4 linked regions of the Rhinolophus ferrumequinum genome follow. The protein of the gene in region 3 interacts with the protein of the main gene of each other region in a pairwise test. Links are inferred from orthologs where the notes say so. Each region holds a gene or a part of one and is shown on either strand. Other genes may lie near its edges.

Region 1 (8,068 bases), on a different chromosome or scaffold from region 3:
TTCCATTGCTGTCCTAAAGAATCCTCACTTGGGATCGGAGTCTATGTATCAAATTTCTAAGATCCAAGGATCCTACACTTAGGAAAACTATAAAGCACAAAAGCTGAAGATACATATTCAAGATCAAACTATGACAAGCTTTAACTGTACATAATCTGCCTCCAACTCCCCTCATTTGCATTATCCAAACCTCAGAAAAGCAGCTCTGCAGTTTTCCTACATTTCTTAACTGGCATGGCCAAACTTCAGCAATCAAGCAAAGAACACATCAGAGAAAAAGGAAGCCCTTTGACTTATACTGTAACAAGCTACTTTGTAGGTAAACAAAAGACCCATGAAAGTCTTGTGTTGTGCTGCTTTAAAAAAAATTATCACTAATCACACATCTTTCTGGAAGAAAACAAAAAAAGAATATTGAAAGTACAGGAAACTGTTCCAACCACCAGATACAGCTATTTACATAAAACTAATGTTATACATGTGCACGCGCGCGCGCACACACACACACACACACACACCATTTTTTTAAGGAGAGCAGAAAATAGACTAAAATTTTGGTTGTGCAATACGCACTAGACAACTCTCACTTTACTGGTAATTCATCAAGTTTAGAAATAAAAACAAAGAGTTTCACTTTTGTTTCTTGTAAAGTATGAAGTTTACTTCCTAGTTACTAGCTTGAAGTCCACTTCCTAGTTACTAGCTTGGTGGATTTAAATCTATCAATTTATTTGAAGTAGACAGTATAAAGTATTTATACCCATATAAATATTTTTAAAATAGTTCTAATCTGAGTAACAAAGTAATAGTACATAAATACAGGAAGCAAACAAACACATTGTTTCTTTTAAAAAACACATAAATACCATGACAGAAGTATAATAAATTATAATGCTCTAAAACAATTCCCCAATATCAATGAAATGATCTGACATACACACTCTAAAAATAGCATCATAATGATAATACTTTAAATTTAACAACTATTGTCTTTATGTAAGGAGAGGGTCCATTAAACTATGAAATTGGACTTGATGACCAAGATCAAGTAATTTCAGTAATTTGATTCCTGATCTTACAATTTTATGCACAAAACTCTGAAGCATGCAGATCTGTATTTGGTTCTATACTAAAGAAATACTTTAAGTCAAAATCAATTTTATTAATAAAAAACTCACAAATTTCTTGCCATTGTTCAAATTTAAGAGACGTGAGAATTAGCTACATTTTCCACTTTGAAATAGACTTTAATATTTGACACTGAAAAGAACTATAAATAAAAATAACAAACCTATTAAACATTACTTAGTATACATATGATCCCAAGATCCTGTTCTAAGTATTAACACTTTATTATATACTCAAACATCAAAAACTAAAGTTTTAGATATTCAGAATAGAATAGAGGGGATTTAGGAGATGAACTGTTGTCCTATTATTAAATCTAGAAATTATTTCACTCTGCAAATAATTTGCAGTGTGCAATAATCTTCTAAATTTACCAGTAACAGTTAACCAATACACAAGTTCCAAGACAACTTTCTCAAAGTGCCTAAAATAACAATGCACTATCCTTGCTTTCCAAAATTCTTGAGCATCTTCAATTACCTCGTGTACCATCATAAAATTCTAAAAATAATTTCAAAGCAAAAACTTAGCAGGCTGTAAATAAATGCATAGCCCATTTTAGGGCAGGAGGCCCTATTCTATAACCAAGCACAGGTAGGATATAACCACGTCAAACCTGTAACAGGGCGGGGCACTATCCCTCGCTCAGATAAGCCAAACACGTCTTTGGCAGCCGTTGACAGTAAACCAGTTATCTCCATAATTCTAACACGATTAAAGCACTGTTTTCTTTTTGTCCAAATGCTTCTCTCTCTCTCTCTCTCTCTCTCTCTCTCTCTCTCTCTCTCTCTCTCTCTCTCTCTCTCTCTCTCTCTCTCTCACATACACACACACACACACACACACACACACACACAATAAGTCATAGCCAACAACTACTCTTCAGAACATAGTTCAAGCCATGATAGTGCACTGGAGATTCTGAAAGCAAAATCTAGAATAAAAGGAGCACCTCTCACTACTCACAACGAACGATCTCAAGCTTCACAAACAGATTTTTTTTTTTTGAAACTTGAGTGACCATTTGAATGTGTGACTGAGGCAAGAATCAAGGGTGAACGATGGAACAAGGTCAAACTTAGGGGACAAAAGATTCCTGGAACAAACATGGCCAGGAAGGTTTCCTTTCTTAAGGGGCAGTTTCAGAAAAAAAAGAAAAAGAAACCGAAAGAGGAAAAGGAACCAACCAAATCCTCTACTTGTACATAGAGTCCACCTGGTAAACGTACCTGCCCTGCCAGGCAAGCAATTCAATTCTGGAGGAGACCCTTTTGCAAACTAGCAGGCCTGGAATGTCCCTGCCTTCGAAATACAAACTGTGTTCAGAACGGATGACAACTGGCTATTCCTCTTCTTGTTTTAATAAAGTTTAATTAAGAAGCCATATAAAGCAGTGTAGGAATGTGAGAGTCGCTCCCAATAAATACCAGGCTCCGTTGGTTGCAGGAAAACAATCAGCAAAAGGAAGTGGATTGAAACCCGCTAACTACTTCCCGCTTCCCACACGCAGCCCGGCACTGGGCGCGACACCCCCGAAGACCACCGGCAGAGGCGGCGGGTGGCGGGGGAGGCAGCCCGGGCCGCGGAGGCCCGAGCGCGGGCGGGGAGGCCGGGGAGCTCGGGGTCCCGGCGGGTGCGGACAGCACGTCGGAATGAGGAGAGCGGCCGGGCTACGCCGGCTCGCGGGCTCGCCTCACCTTCTGCGCCGCGCTCTGCTGCAGCACATTCTGCTCCACGGTCATGGCCCCCGCGGCACCGGCGGCGACACAGGCGGCGACACAGGCGGCGGCGTCCGGCTCCTCGCGCCTCCGCCGGCCCTGGCTGCCACGCTGCGCCGAGCTCCAGGCAGCGGCGCGGACGGCCGGGGAGGACAGCGCCCCGGCCAGGCAGGCGCGAAGGCGATGGCGGCAGGCGTGCGCGGGGACCGCGGGCTGGCGGCGCGGCGCGGACGGCGAGGGCCACGGCGGCGAGCCCACAGCTCCGTGCGGCCGCCTCAGCGCGGCTGCTCCGCCGCGGCCCCGGCCATGGGCGGTCGGCGGACGCTGGGGCGCGGGAGGGCGCGAGCGAGGCGGGCCGCGTCACGCGCGCGCGCGTTCCTTCGCGGGCGCTCACGGGCCACTGCGGGGAAGGCACAGGGAACGGAGGGAGCGGCCGGCCAGAATGGCGCTATCCTCCTCCCTCCCCTCCCCCAGCCGCCGTCACCGCCCCCGCCCGGCGGCTCCTCCCCCGCCGAGCCCCGCCCGCCGGCCGCCCTAACCCTACATTGTGACCCGCGGGGCGGCGGGGCGGGGCGGAGCGCCCCGGGGTCCCGCCCCCCAGTCCCGGCCCCGCCCCGCCTGGCGCGGGCCCGGCGCCCCCGGGTGGGGCGAGGGCGCGCCTGGCGAGCTGGGCCTTGGAGCCGCCCCTGCGGCAGGTTACGCGACGTCAGAACTTGGCTCCGCTAAACTCCACGCCGAGAGCGGAGGGCTGCGTTCCTGCTTGCGCCCTGGACTTGTCCGGTCGCCGGCTTTCCCAACTCCGCCAAGACAAAACATTTCTGTCTAGGCCCCGTAACGTCCCCAAACCGCTTGGGTCCCGAACCCCGGCTCCTTTCTACGTCTGCGGTCCTCTGCCCTCTCATTTCTAGGAATTTCACAAGCAATAAACTTGCCCTAAGGGAAAAGAGTGATTTAAGCGTAGGGCTGTCAGAAGTCCTTAGGCTGGAATGCACTTTTCTCCTTAAGTAATCAGTACATAAATGATTATTGGCATTCTCGGTCTACTTCATTCATTCGTACATGTGCCAGTCACTGCCAGGATCTGGAGAAATAAGGTTTACTTCTCCAAGATTTGATGTAAATGAATTACGGTCTATACAACAGACATTACAGAAGTATCACTGCCTACATGGTGCATAATTTTAGTATTCCAGTTGCCAAACTATCAATTAACCACCCAGCATGGAATACTTGACTATATATGGAATTATAAGGGAAACCGAACATTGAGACAGCAATCTCTACCCTCAAAAATATCTTGACGTTCAGGAGTTAACCTGGGGATTGGAGGTGAGGGTGCTGCGGTAGGAGGGGCGGAATGATCAGTGCATATTGTCCCAAACACAATACACACATGCAAATCCGGTTTTTAATCTGTTGACAAGAAAAACAAACTTGGTAAATGATCATTGAAATATTATCTAGTTTTATTTAATAATCCTGAATCAAGTACTTCTTAAGTCTTTGTAACAAATCTGTTCACTTTACAACTGACTTTGTACCTTAGATGTCTTTAACCACCTTTTGAGATCTTTCCCTCGAGTCTTCACATATTTTGCTCATTTGATTTTGACAAATTACAAACTTTATTTTATTGATATCCTGTGTGTTTGCCAGAAGAATTTGAAAAGTAGTGAGATGGTTGGAAACCCAGGATTTTAGGAATAATGCAACAGTCCTGATAGAATGCAGAAATTTTTTATCAGAACACTGAGACCCTAAGAGGTGACTTGTCAAAGAAGGCATACTAGAACCCATTTTCCTCATTTATAGACCAAAGTTCTTTCCGACATATCTTCATGTTTCTCTGTATTATAGATTTTGTTTTAAATCTATCTGGTTCATGACATTTGAATTTAAGAAAGTTAAATTTAACATAAAATCTAGTACTGTGGTTTAAAAAGATATTGCCCGATACTAAAGATTAGTCTCAAGAATTTGGCAATAAATCTTTCTTTGAATTAAATGTTTTAATTCCACACACAAAAAATTATCATACCCATTTTTATACCCAAATAAAAGCTCTTTAGAGGGTAGTCATACTTGCGAACTTTGAGCATTGATTCCCAGCTTGCTTCTGATGGTTTCCTATTTAATATTTTTTAAACTTAATTGTTATTTTGTAGAACTTTAATAAGAAATTTTCAAGTTTCCTTATATGCGTTCTTTTTTAAAAAAGAGTACAATTGGAATGAGTAAAAGATGGAAATTTGAGAATTTGAGATAAATTCTCACATAAGACCCTTTGCCAGATATCCCAATTTATTTACAAAATTTGCTCAGTGTCAGTTGTGCTGTTCAGAAGTCAGCCTTAGTATATATAGTTGTTAGAGTAAGATAGCCTCAGGATACTATTTAATCATTCCTAAATTGTTCCATTACTCTGATATTTGACATTCAGGTAAACACATAAAGTGATAGAGTTCTTATAAAATGTGAAATTTAGTTTTTAACAAGTCTATTTTTCTATTTTGGATCAAAATGATGTTTCCAACAATATTCACTATTGTGACTTGTATGTGAACCAAGGAAATTGGTTTTCTTCTATCTTGATTATTCATTTCTCTTTATTTAGAAAGGGTTTGAAAATCCATTTCTGGACACCAAAAATTTCATATGTTACTAAAACACATTTGTAAGACAAGAATAAGAGAGAATCATTTAATTAGTAGTGTAGATTTGAACAATTTCCATGATAAAAGAGTGGTTCTTAAATCTATTTCAAGGAGGTTAAGAATTATTTTCCTTCTTTAAGTAAGTATGTTGACATCCTGGGATAACTCCCCCCCACCACCACCAATTAGGAAACCATAAGCATTATTATTATTAAACCTCGTTATTCAAAGAGGAGCTTTCTATGATGTCACAATGGTACCATTCAGTGATAGGGCATTCATAGATTCAAAACTGTAAAAGTGCTATCTGCCTGATACAGTCACAATAAAATGCTTATTGAATGAAGTGGGCAGCCATGAAGGAGAGAAACCAAGTTTATTGATGCTTTTGCAGTGCATGTCTAATTTGAACTTCTCATTCCAATTGCACAGCTTTGTGGTTCTGGAAGCCATGTTGTTTTACATTACAAAGCATATCATTTTAGTATCTCCAGCAGCCAATGGTGCCTTACCCATTGAGAATCTTTAAATATTACCTTTTAATTTGCTAGGGAAGTCATCACAAAATATCACAGACTGGATGGCTTACACAACAGAAATTTATTTTCTCATAGTTCTGGAGCTAGAAGTCAAAGATAAACGTGCCAGCATGATTGGTTCCTCTGGCAGCCTCTCTCCTCAGCTTGCAGATGACAGTCTCTGGCTGCCTCTTCATACATGGTTGACCCTCTGTGCGCATACTCCCCTGGTGTCTCTTCCTGTTTTTGTAAGGACACCAGTCATATTGGCTTACGGCCCCACTCTAACAGCCTCATGTTAACTCAGCCAACTTATTAAAGACCTTACCTCCAAATACAGTTATATACTGAGGTACTAGGGGTTGGGACTTCAAAACATGAATTTTGGGGGAGCACAATTCAGCTCGAAACAGTCATATTTAATCTACTTTACTTAATCCTACACTTCATGCCTATGTGCCACTAAATATCCTTTTTCCTGCTCCATCCTATCACCTCATATATTGCTACGAGCTGTATTAACACTTTAAAGGATAGATAGACCTCTTCATTTTCTGCCAATACTGACATTTCCAATTAGAATAATTTTGGGGGAAAGAGTTCTGAAATAGAAATCTAGTTTAATGTGAACTATTTTTTTTTGATTTGCAAGTTCTGCTTTAAAAGCAAGGTCCTACTTGGATAACAGCTACGCTTTATCAACTGAGAGCCAGCACAAAAGTGGTGATTTCTTGTGTGAATCACTTGCTCCCTTACCTTGAACGTGCCCAAAGGCATTCTCGGGCAATGAAAATGGTTAGTCCCCAGGCCCTTTCTCATTCTTACCTTTCTTCCTCTTCTACAGTAGTAGGCATACACTTCCCTGAAATTATCCTATGACATATATGGACAGAGAAAATTATATAAGTTAATGTCACTTCCCAAGACCTCTGTCTTCCATATTCAGGGCCCATGATGGCTACACATATACAAATCCCAAAGAACAACCCAGGGACTGCTCGCTCTATGATCTTAAGCAACTTAAGCCTTTTGGATAATCCTTGCCTGTTTGCTATCAGGTAAATTCCATGCATTTCTATTGTTTTTCTCTGAATCACAGAAAAAACTATCCCTGCATAGTCCATGCTCTCAGGTCAGCTGGTTTGAGAATGGATTTGGCCAATGAGAGACGTAGATATTGTATTGGGGGAAGGAGGGAGAGGGCGTGAGAGAAAAAAAAAAGCCAGGCTATTTCTCTTTCTCCTTCTTCTCCGTTTGGGTGGCATCTCCTTGGGCCATATGTCTTTGGGGGTTCTAGCTCTCACCAGACTGGCCTACCCTGGTTCAAGGTCCTGGTGGAAATTTTGCTTGCTTCCATCATCCCTCCAATTTAAGAGTCAAAATGAGTTCTTGCTGTTGCTAAACTTGGTTTAACTCACTGTCCTTGTTTGTCTTCTCAGGTCTTCCGTTACCTGTATAACCCATTCTTCGAATTAAGTAGGCCTTGATTTAAATATTTAGAGAGTATTTTGTTGTTCTGACATGAATTTAAGTTATACATGTTCTCTGGGTCAGTTCTGCCATCTATAAAATGAGAATAATAATATAGGGTTATTCTGATGATTAAATGATTAAGTAAATGTAAACTACTTAGACCACTATAAGGCAAAAAGTAAGTACATAATAAATGTGAGCAAGTTCTTGCTATTATTATTATTAGGGCTTCACTGAGACCTATAAATTGAGAAGTTAAAACCAGTAGATGAGCACCAAGAAGAATTAGTCAGCTGGGATTGAATATTCTGAGTCTAGGACAAGAAGCAGAGTTAAGTAGGTCAGTTTACAAAATCTGACAGGCTAAGAAGGGACTGTTCCACTGACATTTCTGTAATAGTTTCATATATCAAATTATGTACAAAAGAACTTACTTTGTTATTCCTAAGCAGCTATTTATTGCTAGCTTCAAACCCTTGGTGATTATTTGTGTTCTCTCTTGGATGGTAGAAAAGACACAAAGGTCAGATGTAAATGTCTTTAATTTTCAAAAATACGTACTAGAGATACAGCAAAT
Region 2 (8,069 bases), on a different chromosome or scaffold from region 3:
TGGAGGCTGCCCGTACAAGGTCAATGTGCCCTCAGGGTTGGTTAATGGTGAAGCCTCTCTTCCTGCCTTAAAGACAGCCACCTTCTCATTGTGTCCTCAAGTGGCCTTTGGTTGTTTGCACATGGAGAGAGAGAGAGAGAGAGAGAGAGAGAGAGAGAGAGAGAGAGAGAGAGAGAGAGATCTGGTGTCTCTTCTTCTTCTTAATAAGACACGAGTTCTATTGAATTAGGACCCCATATTTACGGCCCATTTAACCTTAGTTAATTCTCTAAAGGCCCATTTCCAAATACAGTCACATTGGGGGTTAGGGATTCAACATATAGATTCAAAGGGGACACAGTTCGGTCTACAGAACCCTCCTCAACCTGATATTCCTGACTCATTTCTCTCTAGCGACGCAAATGCCAAGCTCCTACCACACTATTTCATGTCTAAAATGCACATCCTCCCTTTCTTCTCTAGTCCCAATCCTATCTAGTTCAAACTTCTCTGAGGTTTTCTCCATTTCAAATTCAGAAGTAACTCATCCATCTTTGCTCCTATCTTTGGTACTTTGGTACTTTGGTCAAACCATTAATACAGCTAATGTAAGAACAGTATTTTTTAACATGCCTATTTCTTTTTCAACATACAGTTTTCTCTGTTAAGTCCCATAATCATTGGACGATGTAATTATTATTAATAAGCATGTTTTATGAATGTGACAACTGAGCCTCAAAGAAGTTGTTTATTCTTTCTATTGAAATTGAGAACATTAAGAATGTGTTTTTTGGTAAGTGATGGTATTATTCACTGATTATGAAACATTGAAAGAGGAGCAGGTTTTATAGAAAAAAGATGTTGATTTGAAACATGTTAGGTTTCAGGTGCCTATGACACATCCAAATGTGCTAATATTAAATACCTGTTTAATATAGTCAGTTTGGGGTTAATATACAAGTTGGGCTTTGGTATTCTCATTTCATAACATTAGTACAAGTAAGTCATAAGCGGCAAATAAGCTCTCTTATTCTATGTGTTAATGAAGAATAATGCTAAATTACTTGTTTATATACTTGTTCAAGATTCTTCTTCTTCCTACTCTGTCCATATATTTTAACTTCTAAACAGCCAATTTTTAATATCATAGAAGTGGACAAGATCTGAAATGAATGAGATCCTAAGAGATTATCTAAAATTCATTTATAGATGAAGAAAACACAGTATAGCCAGTTAAGTGACTCATCCAAGGTCACAGTTAGTACCCAAATAAGAACTAACATCTGTATGTTCTAATTCCAGTCAAAACTCTATTGTATTATACCAGTGATTCCCAAATATTATTCTGTAGAACATCAACTATGTGAGAAGCTCAGTGAATAAAATGACTCAAATGTGTCATTTAACCCTGAATACAATCCTTTCTCTTGGAGAGTTGCAGTGAACAACTTGTTCAACTTTACTTAACCCAGCCTTTAATAATAGAACCCCCTTTACACCATATGGATATGGTTCAGGCACATTGAAAAGTTCCTTGTAACTACCACAAAGGTTGCTGAAGTCCAAAATAAAGCATAATGCTATCAAAAATGCTTTGGGAAATGAGGCACTGTACCAAACTTGAGTATGACAGTGGTGAGTTTAAAAGGAACTTGGTGTGCTTAGTAAGAAAATTATCCTGAGGTTAGGTGAGGCAAAGGAAACAGTTTTGTTTTTGTGCTAGATTTATGCTGTTATTGGAAGAGATAGGGCATATAAATGAGATCGTTTTTATTAATAAATGAGTATGGGATTGTTTTTATTACCTGCCTAGAGCTTATTAATTTTATTGGAGAGTGGATTTTTCAAAGATTTGATTTCTCCTTGATAGGTGGTGGTGCAAATACACAAAAGTAGGATTTGCATACTTCCACTAGAGAATTGTTCTTTTCATGGTAGTTAATAGCACCCAGGTAATGAAGCTAATGTGCTTTGTCAGGGAAATTTGGGGGAAAACAGGAAAATAATTAAACACAGAGTTAGAGTTTGATGACGAGGAATTAATTCTGTTGCTGTGAAGTAGTAAAGATGGCTACAGAGAATTAATCATGATGGAAATCTCGGCCCAGTTTTATGGAAGTGCCTGAACTTGAATTAGATAGAAAGAGAGGCATTACTAATAAAACTTACATATGAACAGGAAGTTTATGATTTTATAGGACTCTCTTTTAGGACTAAAGATCACTCATGCGACTTATGTACATCTTAATGCTACACATCAGTTTAATCAAAACTACAGATGGTCCTAAGGAAAAAATGCTAAAATATGAAGCACTATAAATACTTCAAAGAAAATCTACATAATTTTAAGTCATTATAATAAAAGAGAAGGCCATTATTGTCCTATACCAGATATAGACCAGATATAAGAAAATTTTAAATAAATATTAATTTGCATTTCTATTGTAGTTTAAGCAAGTTTACAATTTAAATTTAAATGTATAACTAGTGAATAATTAAGCAACGTAATTTAACATTAATCAAATATTCCTTGTTAAAAATGTCATGCTAATTAAAAAATTTTAAACATTGTAAATAAAGACTATAGCCTAAAGGTGAAAAGGACATACCTATCAATATCCACCCAAGATTTTTGCCAACTTCACCAAAGCTGGACACTAAGAAAAATCACAGATCAAGAAATATTCTACTAAAAAACAAAAGCATTTTGAAAGGGAAGCTTTTACTTCATATCTATAGATAATTAAACCTATAACAACCATCTGTATATTAATGGAAAGAAAACAAATGTGATGTAGTATTATACAGAGGGTGCTCCAAAAATGTATACACTTTTTAAGAAAGGAAAAAACTGTATTAAAATTGTAATACTCAAAAAATAAATACAAGTCATGTTCGACCTTTACAAGAGGTGCTCAAAGTGGTTCCCATCAGTGTCCAGACACTTCTGATTATGGCGAACTATTGCTTGAGCAAGGTTGATCAAAGTGGTAATAACATCGCTTAAAATGTATATACACATTTTTAGCACCCCCAGTATATACTATACTATTAATAATTTCCTATATTAATGGAAAGAAAAATGTGGCAAGCTTTTAAATTTAGAGGTTTGCCACTCATAGGCTCCATGAATAAAGGCCTTTCTATGTCTTTCAAGAAGGGAAATAATTTTGTAAATTGTCAAGCACCATGCAAATATTAAGATATTTAACTGGACTAGTCAATACTACCATGTTTCCCTGAAAATAAGACCGGGTCTTATACCAGTTTTTGCTCCAAAAGATGCATTAGGGCTTATGTTCAGGGGATGTCATCCTGAAAAATCATGCTAGGGCTTATTTTCTGGTTAGGTCTTATTTTTGGGGAAACATGGTATATCCCCTGATCCTTCGCTTGCTGGAAGATAGTGAATTCCTAAGTTCTAGTAAAGGCAAGTTTCATTCATTCAACTAATACTTACAGAGATCCAGACTCCATACTAGGAACTATGTTCAAGACTCCATACTAGAAACTATGTTCAAGACTCCATATTAGGAACTAAGAATAAGATATGTCCTTGGCTTCCATAAATTTATATCCCAGGAGAAGAGTAAATACGTGTACTTGTTTGCAAATTGTGAGGACAGAGTTTAAGAGAGTAGTTTCCAAGCACTTGGCCTCACGTGGAAAGGTGCTGGCTCGGGTAGTAAATGGCCATCAGCTGTGGCTGGTTGGCCATCAGCTGTTACCAGTTAGCCATTAGCCACTGATATAACTGCCGTGGCTGCACTGGTTGGTTGGTTTGGTCGGTTGGCAGAGAAGTGGACAGTGGATTGGGGATCGAGTGGCTACTGTTTCCTGTGTCTCCAACCCAGTGGCCAGTGACACTATAGTGATATGACTCCCCTATCTTTGGCTCCGTTGGTGTTCCTTTTTGGCCTCACCATATCCTGCATTCTTGTGCGGGAAGCAGGACCAGAGACCCCTCATGACACCAATACAAGGATGACAATAATTGTCATAAGCAAGTTACAAGCAAGGTAGGTACTATGGAATTTTAGAAACTATCATTTTTACTTTAGATTATAATGACTGCAGGAAGCTTATTACAAAGTGGCATTTATACTGTCTTGAAAAACGAGTAAGATTGGTTTGCAAAATTAGGGTAAAGTGTATTCCAAAGCGAATAAAAATGAGGAGAAAGGCTATGGATATGATCAGGCACTTTGAACAATTCCTTTTCACTACAGCAAAGGTTGCTGAAGTCAGAAATAAAGTATAAGTCAGCAAAACCCTCTTACTCGTAACTAGGAAAGAACCCAACAAATTTTACCCTTTTGTTTTAAATTCAAAGGTCAGTGAATGTAAAGATCTCTTCATTTGTAAGCAGGACAAATAGAAGTTTTCACACATATTACATTTAACTGAATGCTCGTCAATGATTAAAACCTGGACTTCAGTTCAGGTGTTGCCCATGTAAGTCTCAAAAAGTGGAGATGAAATGCTCTACCATTTACAAACAGGCTGCTTTGAATCTGTTTTCCTATAAATAGCTTCGTAAATCTGCATTACACCTGGTAGAAATATTTCCAATGCGCATCACACCTCCCTCTTCACTTATGATTTTAATAGCTGCTTCAACTTTGTATGAGTTACATTGAGGCACAGATGCTGACAGCCTTCACTTTAGTGAGGGCTCTCGACACAGACGTGCATGTTTTCTCATTGAAACTTAACCATGATCTTGCAGTTGTAATTTAGAGTAGTGAATATTACACATTTTAAGGAATAGACTATGCTTTAGGCTGTAGGGCTTGGGTCTCAGAGCCTCCAGCTAAAACCAGAGCAGTGCGCAGACGGAGGAAGTGGTTCAGGATGTCAGAAACATGCCGACGCCCATGGGATGGGGTGTGCTTACTACACAAAAGCCACCACTTGCACTTAAAAGCCTGGCCCCCAGCTCAGTAACACCAGTGGCCTCCACCGCGGTCCGTCGCTCTTCCCGCTCCCCATTTCCACTTCCGGGGAGGTAACTCCCGGGCCCTCCGGGTGTGGGGCGGTAGCAAGAGAGGAGCCGGAAGTGGCCCGGACACTTCCGGTACGGGAAACTCTTAGCTGCCGGTCCGACTGGGCTTGACAGGCTCGGTCCCTGCTTGTAGATCTCTCCATTCGTCTTCCTTGCGTCTAACCTTCCAACTCTTCTGCTGCTGCCGTCCGCAACTCCTGTCTCCGGAGCCGCCCCTTCCCCATGTTCCGGGGCAGGAGTCCTGGAAGCAACAACCCGCTCGCCGGTAGCCCATCATGTCCGAACTGACCAAAGAGCTGGTGGAGCTGGTATGGGGCACCAAGAGCAGTCCCGGTCTCTCCGACACCATCTTCTGCCGCTGGACGCAAGGTACCCCGGCCGGGCTCTCACTTCCAGCGCCGCTTCCTTTGCCCTGGGAAAGCCTGGCGGTGACGCTTCTCGCGCCAGCCAGCCCCGTCGCGTGCCCCGCACTCTGTCCCAGTCCCCATGCTCAGCTCAGAAACCGGGCGCTCGAGCAGCTCGCTGCCGTCTTGGGGGTTTGGGGGCCGGGGGAGAGGTTGACCGGGAGAATGGTTTCAGCTGTCCACTAAAACCTGAAGCTCGTTTGCCACTCCCTGGGCTGCCCTTGGGCTGGAGGGGAGAAGGGGTGGCTGCGTTGTGTGACACTGAAGGTGTGTCCTGTGTCCCGGTGTCAGTTTCTCAAGAAGTGCCGTGGCCGCCCGAATCTTTATTCCCTGACAAGGCTTTCTGTTATTGGTGTTTGGTCTAATTTTGGAGAGAGGGAGGTCCACGGGGAAGTCAAAGTGGCTAATTCCAGAAAGCAGTTTTGTTGTCTGTGTTTTAAGTATGTGGTTAGCCATGGTACTCCGTGCATAAATTCACTGTTGCTTGCTATAAATGTTCTCTTAACCCAAAGCATCCCCCCGTCTTGAGATGGTTTATGGATGGTGGGACTTCCCGTGCGGGTCTAATTAGCCAGACAGGATTTTGAGTTATTTAAAGAGTTTTATTGATAATATGAATAATAATGAAACAAAAATGACTATTTATTGAATTTGTGCCAGGCTCTGTGCTGGACACTTTATACTAGTAATTATCCCTAATTCTTAAGTTTTAATATTAAAACACCACAGACACATTACTTAAGGTGACTTAGGAAAGATTGGTGAAGTTAAGTGGGGATAAGAGTGTCGTCTCTGGAGTCGGTAATGTATGTATGTATGTATGTAAAACAGGCTAATAAATAACAGCTGTTTATTACTATTATTATTAAACCATATCCTGTTCTCAAAGGATTTGGGGGAATTTTAGCATAGTAAATCTAAGTCCCCACTTCAAATGTGTGTTTTCTAACAGAAATTCAGGGTATAAGTAAGCCCTTCCTCCCTCCCAGATATGTTTCCTTTAAGAACTGATAACTTTAGAATCATAATGTATTATACTCAATTAGGTTATTTAGTCCATCGCTCGTTTTCAGAGGTGAGAAAAATGAGTCCTGAAGGAAGACTAAATGACTAGGCCAAAGTTGTACAAATTGATAAAACTGGGGAAAAGTTATGTGTAATTAGGTTGGCTCTTTTTATGCATTTTATTATATCACTTAACTAATATTTTCTGAAATCTTGGACACCCACGTTTGCAGATTTTATTTTTAAGCTTACTTTCAACTTACTTACTGTAATAGTAAACAGCTGTAAAGTACACAAGACTGTGAAGGATTAAGAAAAATTTAAATTTAGTGTGATTGGTCAACATTAATTAAGCATTTACAATATAGAATACAGGTAATATTCAGCCTCATTTCTGTTAATATGTGATGCAGATTCAAGGAGAATTCAGAGAGGGAGTTCTCGTCATGGTTAAGAGCAGGCTTTGGAATAAGCATACTTAGGTTCTAGGTTTAAGTTATTTAACTTATTTAAGCCTCAGTTTCCTTCTCTGTAAAATGCAGATAATAGTAGTGTCAACCTTATAGGGTTGTTGTGAGGATTAAAGACGGGTAAATACACTTAGCACTTAGCACAATATCTGACACATAGTAAACACTCAGAAAATGGTAGCTTGATTTCAAAACTGTTTCATTGTAACCCAAGCCAAAGATCCCTCTCTGGCAGTTCCCTGGCAATTATAAGAAGCTGTTATTGTTTATTTGATAATCATTATTTAAAAATAGAACTTTGTAATGACATTAGGATACTGTGCCACAGTTTAGTGATGCAGAAGTTCCTCAATAAGATTCACTCAATCAATACCATTTCAAAATAAATGGTATTGAACTTTTTTTGCTTTTCAGAGAATGCAGTTATATTGTGGATATGTAATTCTTCAGGGTCTTAAATTGATCAAGATTTTAAGGCGACCAGATATGTATTTTTAAGTTATAACCTCTGAATCAGAAGGCTGTTGTTCCTGGTTTTGCTATGTTAACCATTGTATTCATTTATTCATTCTTAGAGGCAGAAACAATTGCTAAAGATTACTGTGGCAATAATTTGGGATTATGGGACTAGATACAAGACACTGCTTTGCTGCATTTGCCTCACTGCATTCATATTGTGACATTAACTTTGGCTTTATTTCATAGTCTATAACTGCAATGAATTGGAAGCTAATCTCATTAGTCTTTTGGAAGCAAGTTACAGATATAAAATGTTTGGGGGTAAATATTTATAGAATTATGTCTAGGGATATTCCATTTATAAAACTATATTGATTGGTCATGTTAAATTCTTTTGATATGTTAAAATAATAAGCTGCCACAGCACATACTTGTTTTTTTTTTTTTTTCTCTTTTGATTTGTTTGGCAGTTTTAGACACTATGTTAAGCAATGAGCCTCAGGAGTAGCACAGAGTTATTCTTTTAATTCATTAGGCTGTTTTAGATAATTCTCTTCTGCAAATCCTTTTTCTTTAAAAACAAAAGTAGGGTTTTTTTTGTTTTTTTTTTTTTTTGTGTGTGTGTGTGTTTTGCCAGTTTTTATTTTAAAGGCGATAAATCACAATTTAAAGTTGTTGTTTTAAACGGAAATTTATACTCTTGTTTGCTTTCCTCTTGCTAAGTTGCCTAGAATAGTTTTGAAAGAA
Region 3 (7,669 bases):
CATGTTCTGGAACTGGGGCTGGTCCCGCAGGAATTCCAGGGGGTTCTCTCCCACTGGCAGGAGGAAGGCATATGGTTAGACCCCAGGCTGGGCTCCCAGAAGCATAGGGTTTGGGGGGAGAGAAGTCAGATGCCTTGACAGCAGACACCCCACATGCACACATCCCAACTCACTCACCTGCTTCTGTAGCTGGCTGCTCGGACACCTGGCTCTCCTGGACAGAGCCGTGTTCTGGCTCGGGGCTCCCAGGAATTCCCTGTCAGGGCTCCTATTTAGTTCTAATGCACAGACCACCTGCTGCCTCCCTCCTGCACATTCAGCCCTGGCAGGAGACAGGTGAGGCCTGGGCCCCGCCCTCCACAGGCCCAACCCTCTGCTCACGTCCAGCCTCCTGAGCAGGGAGGTTTTCCTGGCTCGAACCATGACCCAAAGGCTTTTGGGGGCAGGTTTTACCTCCCTGACCACCTATCAGAGTGCTGAAGCCCACGTATTCCCTGGAAGCCTCCCTAGGGGGCAGCAGCCCCACCTCACCGTGAGTAGATACTCCACGGCTCGGTGGGGGTTGTTGTAGCTGGCTCTCAGGGCGGCCACGACCCGTTCCCGCTCATAGCCCATGGACATGATCTCTGTCAGCATCGTCTCATACTCGGAGCCCGTCACTGTGGAGGGAGCAGCAAGGTCTGGGTCACCCACAAGAGGGAAGGGCAGCTCCCAGGCCCTCCCAAACCCACACAAGGCCCAGCTGATGGCTGGGGCACCCAGTCACTTCTGCCATGGGGACCACCCACCCACCTAACGTGGAGGCCGCGTCTTCCTCTCGCCCGCTGCTACCTGAAGAAGGAACAGAGCTGCAAATTCAAGAGAGAGAAATCGGACCCTGACTTCTGGCGGCTTGCCCTCCCCCCGGGTGTGTGGGACCGTATATGTGGGCACTGCAATGTGCTGGAATAGGGCCCCACAACGAGGTTGCTGCTCCTTGCCTTACCCCGACACAGACTCTGGGGACGTCGTGGGGACTGATTCCTCCGATGGACTCTTGTCCTCTCTGGTGGTAGGTGAGGGATGGGACATGCCTGAGGCAGGGGCTGGCGGGAAGGATGTGGAGGACTCTGGGGCAGCAGTGGGTGATGCCTCTGGGGGTACTGAGGTGCCTGGGCTGGTTTTGGCCTGTGACACCCAGAAAAAGGGAACAGGCATCAGTATCCCTATCACGCCCCAACATCCCGCCACTTCCTAGCCCCGCCCTGTTCACGACTAATCTCTCCAGGGCACACAAGCTCCTCAACTTCCAAGCTAATCAACATGCCCTCCCAACCAGCACACTTCACCCACCTTCGTCACCATGACAACCACAAAGTTCTTCTCATCTATGCGATAGTCCCTGATGGGGACGTCATCGCTCAGGATCTTGCCAGCATAGATGAGTTTCTGTCCAGCCACCGGGAAGGCATCACGTCCCTTCTCAGCTTCTATCTTCTCCTTTAGCACCTTCACCTGGAGGGAGGGGTACAGTCATTGCAAACCCCAAGATTCTCTCTTCCCTTCTAGTTTGGTGATTGAGGGGAGAGGCTGGCAAGCCCTGATGATGGAGAGGCGAAGCTTCAGTCAAGCATGCTAGATACGAGTTCATTTGATCATCCCAACATTCAACTGAGTATTTACTGAACACTTAATGTGCCAGACGCTGTTTCAAGCACTAAAGACACCGGAGGGGACAAAATCAAGACTCTGCTCTCATGGAGATGATGCTCAAGTGGGGAGACAAAAAAACAAGTATATATTTCAGGTAGTGTAAAGTATAATGAAAAGTGAAAAATAAAAGGGAGACAGGCGAGTTCCTCATTTAACACTGCAGACAGTGGTCAGTTTTTACTGAAAGCATCTAATTTGACAGAGATGTCATAAATGTATATGCATCACACTTTTAAAGCCTCATAATTCTATGAGATAGATACCATTAGCCTCATTTCATATTTAAGAAAACGGAGGCACAAAAAGGTTCAGTAACTTCCCCAAACTCAAATAGTTGAGCAGGTCAAAAAACCCGAGTGTTTCCTTTTCTACAAAAAGTGGATGTCAATGTCTCCCTCATGGAGTATTGTGCAAAAAGTATCAAATACATAGTTAAGTCACTCACTAAGGCTGGTTAGGTCCTAAGTTTCTTTTCAGCTAAAAAGGCAGAATGTCTGGGCTCTAACATGAGGAAGAACCGAATTTGAGTCCTAACTCTGCGAATACTCACTGTGTTTGTGGCAAAGTTCCTTAATCCTAGGTTTCTACATCTGTAAAGTGGGGAGTCAGAGTCCCCAAATGAAAAGCCTGTTTTGCAGATTTAGTAACATAACAACAGTAAAATGCCCAACGACTAGCAAAGAACAAACGGCCAACAAACACGGACCACTGAAACTCAGACCATTTATTATCAGTATCATCGTGTTGCAGTCATCAGTCGGCATCTCTAGGCCATTACTCCCAGATTCGGCCACCAACGTCCCGAGGAGACAGACGTCTGCAAAGCTGGGAACTCAGAGATCCCCGTCGGGGAGAGCGCAACCCAACCGAGAATCTGAACCTGTGGCTCCTGCGCCCCGCAAAGGCGCTGACATTGGAGCCGGGGCCTGGCAGGCGTCCCGGGATGGGGCCTCGTCCGAAGACCGCTCATGAGCACCACCAGAGCCGCCAGGGGCTAGGCCGGAGACCATCGTGGCGGGGATGGGAGGCGGTGGTTCCGGAATGTCAGGCAGGTTGGGAGAGCGCAATTCCCCCTGCACCTCCCACCGGGATCTCGGGCCCCCCCGCCCCCATCCCACCCCGCGGCACCAGTCACTCCGCCCCCGGGCTCCAGCCTGGCTCGCACCGTCTCGTCAGGCTCCATGCGGATCTTAAAGGTCTGCTGCTGCAGCGTTTTGAGCGTGATGGTGACGGCCATGGCGGGGCCGAGCGATGGGGCAACCCCAGGATCTTCACACAACATGCAACTCACGCCGCCGCCATCTTAGCGCCCAGCCGCGCCGCGCGCCGACAGCTTCCGGGGCAGGCGCTGCGCGCGCCGACTATTAGAATGCGTGACCTACGCACCTCCCTCCCACCCACAACCCGGCTTTCGCGAGCATGCGCACAAGAACGCCCTCGGACCAGGCGCAGAGTAAGGTCGGCTCCCGGGAAGGGGAGGGTGTATATCTCTGTGCGCGCACACTCGTCACGTGATTTCCTGTCAGTGACGCCATACCCGTTTGCGGTGACGTCATACGGCCATAAAATGGCTCCAAAGTCCCCTTTCAGGCCCTCCTGCGTTTAATTTCATGACGTAGAACAAAAATTTTCGTGTACTTGTTATAGCTATTTGTGTTTCTCTATAAAGTCTTTGTTCACGTTCCAAATGAGTTTTATTCTGGTCCACCACCCTGACAGGAACCTGATCAAGGCCCTGAGAGTGAAAATTACTCAGGACTGGAAAAGATACTCGGAAGGTCACGAAAAATAAAGAAATTAAAACTCTAAAAAAAAAAGAAAAAGCATTTGGCTGTGGAAGCTGGAACACGGGCCATTTTGTGGACTCATTCGTTCATTCCTGAACTGGATTTTTTGGAATGATCCCTACCGTTCAAGTTCTTGGGTCTCCCACCTCTGCGCTACTCCCTCCCCAACTACTTTGCTCACTCCACTATACCCAGTGCGACCCCAAAAGTATTTAAGATGTTAACTTTCAAGGCCTCCTTACGCTAAATACATAATTCTCTCCATAAGCTTGCCCTGGATACACCAATCCTGGAGGCTTCCCAGAGGGGTGGAGCTGGGCCACAGGACCCAGGATGAAGCTTGAAGGGAGCCCATCCAAAGAACAGACTTCCCAAGCCTGGCACCAAGCAGGCAGTCACATCTCAGGCACACCCAACTATAACCAGGTCCTGCTGCTGCTTTCTTTACTGTGTGCCAAGCCTAGAAGCTTCCACCAGGGTAGGCCATGCCCAACTGAACTTACCTCTCCCACAAGGTCATCAGCTGCAGACCACCTACTAGACTTCAGTGGCAGCTTTATGGACCCTAAGAGTGGGCCTAGGCCAGCCTCAGGAGCCCAGACCTTCCTCTGCCACTATCTCAGCCTCTGCACCCTCCCTGGAGTCACCTCTCTTGAAGAGGTTCAAATCCCAACTTGGCCACTGAAGTCCATGGGTAAGCTATATACACCTCTGAGCCTATTTCCTTGATTGTAAGTACACAAGGAATAGCTTTTACCACTGGCTGGCATTAAGGTTTAAAAATTATCCAATTGTTCTACGTAGTCTTGCTCCCTAATAGGTGTAGAAGTACATACGATTCAGTATAAAATAGTATGAGATGGTGTCTAAGATGTAGGTTTAAATCCCTGCTCCACCTCTGACTAAATTCTGGACCTGTCTTCTCATACTGAACTTGTGTTAGAACCAAAACTCACCAGTTTGGTGCAAGGACTCAATGAGTTGATACATAGAGTATTTGTAATGGTACTTAGTTCATCTCCCACTGCTTTGTGGGGGTAACTGTAACCTTATGGGACACTCAGCCAACACTTCAGTGGCTGAAAAATAAGCCTTACTCAAATGTCAACCCCTAAAAAAAGGGCCACTTTTGGTTCCCTAATGTCCATCCTCCCCCAGAAGGAGACACAGGAAGAAGACACAAAACTTAATTTAATAGAAATTTTGTTTGTAGTTCTTACATTCTGTATGAGCTGAGTTGGAACCCACTGCCCCACCCAGAAGTGGCCCAGTTCTGGAGGCAGGGAGAAAGGGAGGAAGTGGGGGTGAGGGGTCGGAGCTCGGGCCCTAGGAGCCCCATTCTTCCTCAGTGCTGGGGGTCTGGGACACCACGCCCTTTTCCTGTCCCACTCTGGGATTCAGGAAGGTGAATAGTCGGAATCTTGGGCCTGGAGCTTCTCCTCCCCACCTCCTCATGCCCCCAGGTTGGAGGGGAACTAAGGGACATGGGGAGAGAAGAGACAGAGGACGGCGAAGGGTCAAGAAAGATGAGGGCCAGAGGTGAGGGCTGAGGGAGAATCATAGACAAAAACACCAGTTCAAAAAACAAATAACAAAAAAAAAAGGGAGAACAAAACCAAAATCCACCCCAAATCCGAACCCGCCTGGAAAAAAAAGGAAAGTTCTCCAGTCTCATAGAGACATTATTTGGCGCGGCCGGCTGTGCGGCAGGAGCGCTCAGGCCTCAGTTCAGCCCCGGAAATGGCGGTGCGGCCCCTACAGCTCATCCTTGGATGGGCCGGCGGCGGCCTCGTCCTCCTCCTCGTCTTCCTCCTTATCATCCTCGTCCTCGTCCTCGTCTTCCTTGTCATCCTCGTCGTCCTTGTCCGCCTCCTCCTCCTCCTTGCGCTTCCTGTCCTCCTCCTCCTCCTTCAGCCTCTGCTCCTCGTCCTGCTTGTCTTTCATTTGCTTTTCTGCCGCCTGCACAGACCATACACTCAGAACCTGGCCCCCACCTGCCAGCCCTGCCTGCCCCCCCAGCCAAGAACTGGACCCAGGCCCCACCTTTGTGACACCCCACGTCTCATTGCCGAACTCTTCCGCATACGCCTCGTCGTTGGTGATGAGGAAGTTGTCAAAGATGGTGCCAGACTTCACCTGGGAAGGGGAGGATGGATAAAGGGGTGGCCAGAGGGAACACACCACGCTCCTGCCCTTCAGTTCCATAACCACTCCACAATGCCGCAGCCTAACTTCACACTTAAAATACAGGCTGACTGAGTGCAAACCCCAGCTCTGCTATTTCCCACCTACGTGACGTTGGGCTGGTGACTTTTCTATACCTCAGTTTCTTTATCTGTATAATGGGATCTCTTCCTCTTGTTCAAGTATTTTTCTAGCACCTACTATTGGCAGGTACTGTTCTTAGCACAGAAGGTATATTAGTGAATGAAACAAACAAAAATTTGGTCCCCGTACAGCTCATTTTATAAGGGACTATCTACCTTCTAGGTTGTTGGGGGCAGTTAATGAGTTGGTTCACATAAAGGTTCTTGGGGGAGTGCCTAGCATAGCATGTAGAACCTCAAACGAGGTGCTGTGAGAACGCCATAGAAACAGACCAAGAAATTCTTCAAAACAGGACAATTTTGGGGTCAGACCTACCTAGGGTTGGATCCTATCCCTGTCCCTTTCCTTCTGGGTGACCTTGAGCACTTGAGGTCCCCTAGGGATCCTCCTGTTCCCTCCATGTCTCACCTGCCAGAGGTCTAGGCCCAGCACAGCAAAGTTTTCATAGGCATAGATATTGCTATCCGGAGAATACTCAGGGTTGTCGATCTCTGGGTGGATCCAAGTGCCCTTGTAATCTGGGTTGTCAATCTGTCGGGGCTTCCACTCACCCTGCAGAAGAAGGGAACTGGAGGTGAGAAGAGGTCAGCATGCTCCCCACTGTGTACCCCCATCCTGCTCGGGAGCCCCAGGCCCACCTTGTATTCTGGGTTCTGAATCACTGGTGGTTCCCACTCTCCATCCATCTCTTCATCCCAGTCCTCAGGCTTCTTAGCATCAGGGTCAGGGATGTGCTCAGGCTTGTCCCAATCCTGAGGGCACACGAGGAGATCAGAGTCAGCCCAGCTCTCCGCCACCTCCTCCATGGTGGGGACTCCCTGCCCAAGCACCAACCTCAGGTTTGGAGTCTGTGGGGTCATCAATCTTGGCCCGCTCATCCCAGTCTTCAGGCTTGGAAGCATCAGGATCCTTTATCTTCTTAGGTGGCAAGAAGTCCCAATCGTCTTCCAGGGAGCCCGACTCCACCTGGCTGTTGTCAATCTTCACCTCATAGGTATTATCCGGCCGAACGATCAGTGTGTACAGGTGTGTGAATTCATCATCCTGAAGAGGGCGGGAAGTAAGTGGCCCCACCCACCAGGCTGGCCTCTGAGCCTCCCCAGGCAGCCATTTGTCACCACCCCAGGCACACCTTGCAACGGATATCCTTATTGATTAGCACATTCTTGCCCTTGTAGTTGAAGATGACATGAACCTTCTTGGTGCCCGGGCCACAGATGTCAGGGCCTAGGTGAGAAGCAGGTCCAGTTAAGGGCCAAACCCTGCCCACCATAGCCAGCCCCCGCCCCCTACCCCGCCATTCTTCACAAAAGGAAAACCTCTTAAACTTAGGTCTGTAAAGACTCAAGAGACAGGACTCAGACACTGACTGTCTCTAAGGGACAGTCTCTAAGGTGTCTCTAAGGTGGAGCCTTGGAAAAAAAAAAAATTCATGCTCTAGAATACAGTACCCTCACTTGTAAAATTGGAAAATGCCTATGTAAGATCACACATATTAACAGACTTAGACCAATAATAACAATGCAATAAATTGCTGCTGTGATTATCCCCTCACCTTACCCTTCAAAGAAAAGCCTATGTGTTTCCTGTGCTTTCAAGACCACCTGTCATGGGATACAAGGAACCTATGGGATCTCAGTCTCCCTCTAACTAATCAGAGGTCAGCACCAGGGTGGGGCCCCTCACCAAACATAATGTTGTATTCAGAGTCTCCGTGCATGTCTGTCTGTTCCAAACTATCTGGAAATAGCTTCACATAGCCGCCCCCACAGTCGATGTTCTGCTCGTGTTTCACGGTGAACTGCACCACCAATGTCTGGTCCTTGTTGCTGAAGGGCTCAAATCTGGTCGACAGGGCGTAA
Region 4 (7,690 bases), on a different chromosome or scaffold from region 3:
CAAAGCATGTTAGTAGAAAATCAATTTTTTAAAGAAAGAATGAGTAGAACAAATTATTAAAGGAACCCACGTAGAATGCCAGTGAAACTATTACAGATTTTTGAGAAAGTAGATATTACTGAAGACAGTTCATCTTTATCTAGAAGTCCGTGAACTGAAAAAAGTTAAAAGGTTCAACACCATGGCATATTATACATGCAAATTAGCATATATTTTATTCTGTAATTTTGTTAGCTTTATAACTCTTAGTTGGGGAATAGGATAAACATCATCCAAAGCAGAAATTTAAAACAAAACCAAAAGTATTATTTTCCTTTGTGTGTAGTGAGTGACAAGTATCACTGCTAAACACAAACAAAGCAATTTGTACTTCTTAATTAATCCTTTCACCTTTTTCACCCTGTACCCCAACCCCCTCCCATTTATCACCCCAATAAATCTAGTACACATCTAACACCACACATAGTTATTACAATATTATTGACTATATTCCTTATGCTATGCCCTACATCCCTAAGACTACTTTGGAACAACCAATTTGAACTTCTTAATCCCTTTCCTGTTTTCATCCATCCTTCCCCAACCCCCCTCCAATCTGGGAATGATCAAAATGTTCTCTGTAGAGTCAACAATATTGTGATAGAGTGTCAGTGGTTGCGGGACTTATCATGGCGATCACTTCTTTAGGTATATAAATGTTGAATAACTATGGTATACACCTGAAATGACTTTAATAGTGTATGTTAGCTATATTTTAATAAAAATCTTTTAAAAACTGCTAATGAAATTCTCATTTTAGCTCTCATTCTATAAAATACTGTATCAGACCCTGAGGTAGGAGCAAGGGATATCAAGACATCCCTTACACAGTCCCTATCTCTAATGCTAGTAGATTTCCCAAAACAGCAAAAGGAATAGAAAACCTCGGTGTTCACTACTCTCAAATAAGTTAGATTAGCAGATCTGTAATGCAGTGTGGCTAGAAATACAGAGATATGGAGCTTTTCTGTTAAGAGGTTAGCAAGTCTGGATTTAGAAGGGGATGGAGAGGTGGTACCACCCCCCACCTCTCCCTCGACTCCTGAAGGTGTTTAAATTCTAACAACATGAGGGCATGGACTACTACTATTATTTAAGATAGACTAAAAAGCGTAGTTTTTCATACCATCTCCAATTATATGAGTTCCAAACTCCTAAATACCCTCATAGATAAACACTTTTTAAAGGTCTGAAACACAAGCCATGGTAAAGACTAACATGAACTGACAGCATGACAAGTTTCTTCTATGAGTGTGGTAAACATTCATAATGATTATGATGTCAAGCCATTATTTGCATGCAAAGGATTTCCTTCCTCAAAGCACCTTTATCTTAGTAGCATTTTTGGTTTCATTGGATTGAAAGTAGAAGTGAATACTTATTACAAAGCCACCTCCCTTTTTGAATAGTGGGGTTTCAATAGTTTGGTGGCTTTCCAGGTGAAAGGTCCCAGCCGATGGGCTCTTGAGCACTCAGCCTATGAATTTATTCATGCAGAGTCCACTGGTATCCTTGGGCTCTGAAGAGCTGTGAGACCGATTAGGGTGAAGCAGAGAAGGTGTCACAGAGGAGGAAGGCAGTCCCCACATAAGTCACAATTGTGTAGCTGTGTACAGTGCACATGCTGCATCTCTTGTAACATCTGGGACATAATAAGGGCTCACTATGCTTTTCCTTCAATTTACTTTTAAATCACTAATGTTATCTATCTGAATACTATTATAACTGCCATGAGTTAAAACACTGCACTTGTAACTAATGTCTTGAAAACAGGGTCATATGAAATCTATAACCTGAAAGTGAGAGAAATTTCCTTTTAGACTTCATACGTATACTCACCACTTAGAAGAGCAAATGCCAGGGCCTGAGGGGGCACAGAGAACCTAGACAATCCTGGCAAGTTGATAAATTAAGAAACACACTAAAGCACCTGGCACCTGCAGCTCCTTTAACCTCAGTTCCGTTTCTCTCCCCGCCACATCGTTCCCATCTAAGAATTGAAGTGGTAATGATTCAAAAGGAATAATCACACTTGACTCCCAATTCCCCAAATCTGCAAGGTCCCTCAGAGATTTAGAAATGTGCTTATGCTGGAAAGAAATGAATAAATTCCTCTTAGCCAAGGTAATTATCATCACTGATTCCTACTTATATGATCATTTTGAAAGTAGAATCCAGATATTAATCTGAACATTTTAACTTTTAAAGTAATAGTTGATAATGTTTCAATCAACAAAATGGGAAGAAAAAGACCATAAAAAAAGGTAAAAAGCCCACCACTTCAGTAGGTATTAGGATATTCACAAAATGTTGGGAATTTTGTCAGTGACTCACTCCTGATAAGCATATGGAAACTTAAGGCACCCTGTTTCGTAAAATCCACGCAGTGATAACGAAAGGTAGTTACAGTTTATGTCCTGTCATGTAAGACAGTTAACCAGATCAGCGGCAAGTGTTTGGGGACACGCCTTCCTACCTGCCTCGCCTTACCCTATCCCCGGGACCTCCGCTTCATCCCGGAGCTCCCCGATTTCAGGTGCCAAGTCACAAGTACAAACTTCCTCTTCTCGGGCGAGGGTGGGGCCTGACTGGGTCTCGAGGGCCTCGGCCGTTGGGCCCCGACAGAGAGCGAGAGCCAGGCCCAGGCCCCTAGACCTCTTGACCTCGCCACCCTCCGGTGCCCTACCGGGCACCCCCAAACCCGGCCGAACAGGCGCCGCGCCCTGCCCGTCCCCCCACCGACTGCGCAGCCCCGCACCTGAGGATGTTGTCCGCGTAGGTGAGCAACAGCTTGGAGGCTTCCAGAAAGGTCTCTAGGGTGTTCTGGCAGAGCTCGGCCACAGCAGGGGACGTGGAGTCCGCAGAGCCGCCCAGCGCCGCTGCCGCCATGCTTGAGCGCCCGCGCCCGTCGCCGCCCCTCGCGCGCCGCGTCCCGCACTGAGCAGGCGCCTCAGCGCGCGGCGGCCACGGCAGCGGGTCCGCAGGGGCCCGCGGCTCGGCGGGGCCTGGGGCACGGCTGGGGGTGCGGATCTTGGTCGGGAGGGCGATGGGAATGCAGGGGCCTTGGCTGGGCCGGTTGGGGGCTGTTCGGAGGCTCAGGGGTTTTGACTGGGTGCGACAGGAACCAGGTTGTCAGGGCCCCGCGGGCTTCCACCATAAGGGGCGGGGTGCTTGCTCATCAGGGCTGGGAAGCCTTGGAGGTCTGGCGGGGTACCTCGTAGTCAGGGCTGGGGTGGGGCGTTCGTGGCAGTAGGTGGGAGGGCTGGCCGAGAGGGGCGGGGGGCTTCGTCTAGGAGGGGCGGGGCTAGCGGGTGCGGTCCTGTGCGGGCCGGTGGGTCGCAGAAACCTGGTTCCTCCCTACTCCGATTGATCCAGCCACTGAGGTGGGGAAAACCCCTATACCTTCAAACACGCTTTCCTCCAAATAAAACAATCTTTGAGCTTCCTTCTCGAAGATTGTCAGGCCTTCCTGCATAGATGTGATGAGACCCCAGAAGGAAGGAGCAACAAACGTTTAAAAAACAACAAAAAAAGCAAAAACCGCGTGGCTGTAAACTCTGCTGGGTTTCTGGTATATGGATTCTTTTTAGAATTAGATGAATGATTTAACATCTCTTATGCTCTGGTTTCTCTTCAGATCATGTCTTTCACCTTAAAATCTCTTGCATAAGTTCCAGCTTAAATAGTATAACGCCCCTGTAAAGAAGTGTTTTTCAATCGCAGGTTACAATGTAGTGTTTTATGGACTCAGTTTACCTTGTGACCAGCATAAAACACATACCCAGTAGACAGAATAGAATAGGGAGTGGGGAGAAGGAAAGGCAATAAAAATATTCCATATAGTAGTAAGGATAAGTATTATTTTTTTGTTTTTCTGGTAGATCATGTAATCAGTGACCTTTATTCTTTTTAGAAGATGAATCCTAACCTCTATAATCCATCCTGTCCTTACCATGCCCTTGAAAATGTACCAGTAGCTTCCTTCTTTGCAGAAATTGCTTTCCAAACCTCAACAAATATTTTTCTTGACCTTTAAAAGATATTTGCCTAACTTTTTAAACTGTTCTTGATGCTTTATCTTGTTTGCTTTTAAAATTTGCAATTTTCTTCCAGTATCTATGAACAAGACCCAGAGCTATGCCATCTACTTCAATTACCATTCATCTGCCAGATATTTGGGAAGTTTTTAATAAATATGTAGGTTTTTAGAACAGCTTCCAAGAATAGTGTGTTTAACCCATAGTATGCTGTTAACTGCTGTAACTAAAATTTTCAGTGACTTAACACAAGAGAAATGTCTTTCTTGCTCACTTAATAGTTTAATAATGTAGGTGTCATTAGTCATTGGGACGCTTTCCTCCATGTAATGATCCAGGGACCGAGGCACTTTCCATCCTATAGAATAGAGGTCAACAAACATTTTCTTTAAAGGACCAGGTAGTAAATGTTTAAGGTTTTGAAGCCATAAGGTCTCTGTTTCAACTATTTATTAATAATTCTGCTTCTGCAGTTATATAGTTCCATAGACACTATTTTAAAATGGGCTTGGCCATATTCCAATGAAACTTTATTTACAACAACAGGTAGCCTGCTGGATTTGGCCTGTAGTTTCCTAACTTCTGCAATTGAGCTTCAGAGACTTCTGAATTTAGTTAATGGTTGGGAAAAAGGCATACCTGCATCATAACCGCATGGGCCCAGAAATGACATACAGCATTTTCTCTACCATGTCATTGGCAAAAAGGAAGCCCTATCTAGATAAAAGGAGGGGAGGCTGGGAAATGTAGTCAGTCCCTGGCTGGACAGGCACCACCCAACCCTCTATAAATGATGGAAGGTGGGAGGACTGGGGTTATAACTAGCCGTTTCTATCACAAATTATATTCCCCTTGAGTTTCTTTTTTCCATTAGCACATTTATTTATCCTTATAATAACTGTATAAAGTTATATACTATATAGTATTTATGACTTCTTTTTAAAAGCAACAGAACACTTTTTTTTGCAAATAAAATCTTAGGAGGAAACCCAGTATATGCAAAACGCCGAAGTGGTGGTGCTCTAGAAGTGAAGTAGGTTGACTGTGTGTGTGTGTGTGTGTGTGTGTGTGTAGGAGGAACAGAATGCTTTAGCTGAGACTTCCACTTGACAGAGATAATGGCCTTCCAGTATCTTTGTGGTGAACATGTTAACAGTATGAAAACCAATGCCAGAGTTAATACTGTGATAATAATGTGCAGTCCATAAAATCATAGATATGATTAGTTCAAGGGTAATTCAGTATGTTATTTTAAATTACCTGGAATTTAAATCCTTGCAAATTACTGTTTACCAATACTTCCATTAAAGTTCTTGAGTAACTTAACAATCTCTCTTGGATACCACCATTTGTAAAGCTAGCAAGGGAACTTATTACTATAATAAGGGACTTTGACTTACTCTTTTCCCCGTCTGCTTCTTCCATTTAAGTCAAGTTGAAAATATTGATGTTTCAGTTTCCTTTACAACTAAAATTAAAAATATTAAGCTACCCTTAATCTCTTTATCCCACCATTGCTTTAAACTAAAGAATGTTCTCGTATTAAATCAGCTTTGCACTTCCATTCTTTTACTTGATTTTTTTGCTCCAAAATGATTTTCTTTTCCAGGATTCAAGCTTTATTAATCACGTCATCTTTAGAATTGACACATGATGGCACTATTCTTAAATAGAGCAGAAAAAAAGAATTAAACCATTACAATTTCCCCAGGATGTTTTGTCAAAAAAGAAAATGCTGACCTCAATAAAGACCATCAGCAAGCAGATACGTTGAAGCCTTTCAGTGATCGGTGTAGTGATTCGTTATACCGTGATTGCCTTACATAATCAAATGACAACTATTGAGCACCTGATGTGTGCAAAACAGAGATAATTGACATGAGACTTTTAATTTAGTAGGAAAGCTACAACTAATGATAATATCTTACATACAGAGAGCTATTTAGTTAATGAAACAAAAAAGTAAAAATTACCTAGTAAGAAGTGCACAAAGTGATGCATGTCTAGGAGCCAATGTGAGGGTATGTATTTATTCATTCATTTCGTCATTCATTCATTCACCAGTATTTATGAAGTGACTACTAAATACCAAGCACTGTGGTAGACACTACGAAGCAGTGAAGGAGTGGAGCACAGGCCCTGCTTCATGGAAGTCATGAGTTTACACAGTGTTTAGACCCGCAGCAGCAGCAGCAGCACCACCAGGGAACTTGTCAGGAAGACAGCTTCTCAAGCCCCAGCTAAAGGTGAGGCCCAGTAATCTATGTAGCAGCAAGTCTTTCAGGTAATTCTGATGCACAGTAAAGCTTCAGAACTGGTGTAGAGGAAGGAAAATTTCACTGTGAGCTTCCATTTCGTGTAAGAGGAAGAATTTGAATAGAGCCCTTACATTTGGAGATTAAGGAAGTGAGGACTTCCTAGAGTGAGAAACCCCTCCCCCCATTTAATAGGGACAACATCCTAGCAATGTTGCCTCAACATCGCTCTCTCTTCCTTGCCATTACCTTAGTTGGAGGCCTCATCATCTTTTCTTCAGCCTTAACTCTCTTCCCATATCCATTTCCATATCCCTCGAATTCACCTTGCACACTACTGTAACAGTGATCCTTTTAAAGCACACATCTGGTCATGTTATCCTTCTGGTTAAAAAAGAATACGGCTTCCTATGGCTACCTCTCGCCCACATTCGAAAGTCAAATGGTGTCAGGAACCAAGCAAGTAACTTCAATGTATAAAGTGGCTTTCTTCTTGCCAAAGGAATAGCAGAGACTCTGGTGAAGGGAATGAGTTTACCATATCTTTCCCAGAGGAATTTAAATTCAATATAAGAATGTTGCCATCCAAATTAGACCAGGACTGCCAGGCTATCATCTCTGATCTGCAGTACCCAATCGAAAATCTTTGGCATGACACCTAAGACTTTTTGGGATTGGTCCGTTTACTCTCATGCTTCATACCACACCTCAAATCTAACACTGGCCATACTGAACTACTAGCAGTTTGTGGAAGATACCATGTCTCCAGGCCTTTGTTCTACTCCACCTGTCAGGATGCCCTCCCACTCAATTTACTAGATAAACATTTACTTATTTTCAAGATGCAGCTCAAGGATCACTTTTTTGAAGACTTTCCTGACTTTGGAAGGTAGCGATGACCTACTTGTTTCCTTTGTATGATAATAATTATATTCTTCTCTGATACCACCTGTTCCTGTGAGTATTTGCACGGTTCCATGGCTGTGTCTCTCTACTAGACTATGAACTTCTTGAAAGCAAGAACCATGTCCTATACATTTTTGTATGCCAGCTTTTAGCACAAAATAGGAGGAAAATGAATGTCGAAGAAAATAAAGCACAAGCAAAAGATACAGAGATGAAAACAGAAAAGCTAAAGTCAAACTAGGGATAGTGAGCAGATCAATTTTGCTGGGTGAAAATCTATTTAATAAAGAAAGGGAGCTCTATCTGGAAAGATGATTTGTAATCAGAATACAAAAAATTTAAAAACCTCCAAAATCTGAATAGAAAGCTATGATAAGTGGACTGCTTTTGAAGATTTTGATTGAAGAAAATACCATGGTGTTGTAGTGAGGAATATGGTATTAAATCATATAA

Evidence for each region.
Region 1: the proteins of RAD23A (region 3) and USP25 interact in binary tests that used the Homo sapiens proteins (3 or more experiments, as listed by UniProt). The link is inferred for Rhinolophus ferrumequinum from reciprocal best matches to the Homo sapiens genes RAD23A and USP25.
Region 2: the proteins of RAD23A (region 3) and MINDY3 interact in binary tests that used the Homo sapiens proteins (3 or more experiments, as listed by UniProt). The two-hybrid records come from large-scale screens. The link is inferred for Rhinolophus ferrumequinum from reciprocal best matches to the Homo sapiens genes RAD23A and MINDY3.
Region 4: the proteins of RAD23A (region 3) and NGLY1 interact in binary tests that used the Homo sapiens proteins (3 or more experiments, as listed by UniProt). The two-hybrid records come from large-scale screens. The link is inferred for Rhinolophus ferrumequinum from reciprocal best matches to the Homo sapiens genes RAD23A and NGLY1.

The regions. Positions count from the first base shown.
Region 1 is NC_046285.1:10,682,116-10,690,183, forward strand, and holds the start of USP25 (ubiquitin carboxyl-terminal hydrolase 25), read right to left. Parts: upstream 3,032-8,068; 5' UTR 2,871-3,031; coding exon 2,826-2,870; intron 1-2,825. UniProt on the Homo sapiens protein: Deubiquitinating enzyme that hydrolyzes ubiquitin moieties conjugated to substrates and thus, functions in various biological processes including inflammation and immune response.
Region 2 is NW_022680355.1:2,201,545-2,209,613, reverse strand, and holds the start of MINDY3 (ubiquitin carboxyl-terminal hydrolase MINDY-3), read left to right. Parts: upstream 1-5,029; 5' UTR 5,030-5,259; coding exon 5,260-5,353; intron 5,354-8,069. UniProt on the Homo sapiens protein: Hydrolase that can remove 'Lys-48'-linked conjugated ubiquitin from proteins.
Region 3 is NC_046301.1:48,674,763-48,682,431, forward strand, and holds the start of RAD23A (UV excision repair protein RAD23 homolog A), read right to left. Parts: upstream 3,044-7,669; 5' UTR 2,975-3,043; coding exon 2,858-2,974; intron 1,495-2,857; coding exon 1,333-1,494; intron 1,168-1,332; coding exon 986-1,167; intron 849-985; coding exon 793-848; intron 660-792; coding exon 532-659; intron 257-531; coding exon 178-256; intron 54-177; coding exon 1-53. Other genes in the region: CALR (calreticulin), read right to left, coding at 5,235-5,438, 5,523-5,615, 6,216-6,359, 6,446-6,559, 6,642-6,851, 6,940-7,034, 7,494-7,669. UniProt on the Homo sapiens protein: Multiubiquitin chain receptor involved in modulation of proteasomal degradation. Binds to 'Lys-48'-linked polyubiquitin chains in a length-dependent manner and with a lower affinity to 'Lys-63'-linked polyubiquitin chains.
Region 4 is NC_046300.1:23,284,498-23,292,187, reverse strand, and holds the start of NGLY1 (peptide-N(4)-(N-acetyl-beta-glucosaminyl)asparagine amidase), read right to left. Parts: upstream 3,008-7,690; 5' UTR 2,929-3,007; coding exon 2,798-2,928; exon of another isoform or gene 2,699-2,797; intron 1-2,698. UniProt on the Homo sapiens protein: Specifically deglycosylates the denatured form of N-linked glycoproteins in the cytoplasm and assists their proteasome-mediated degradation. Cleaves the beta-aspartyl-glucosamine (GlcNAc) of the glycan and the amide side chain of Asn, converting Asn to Asp.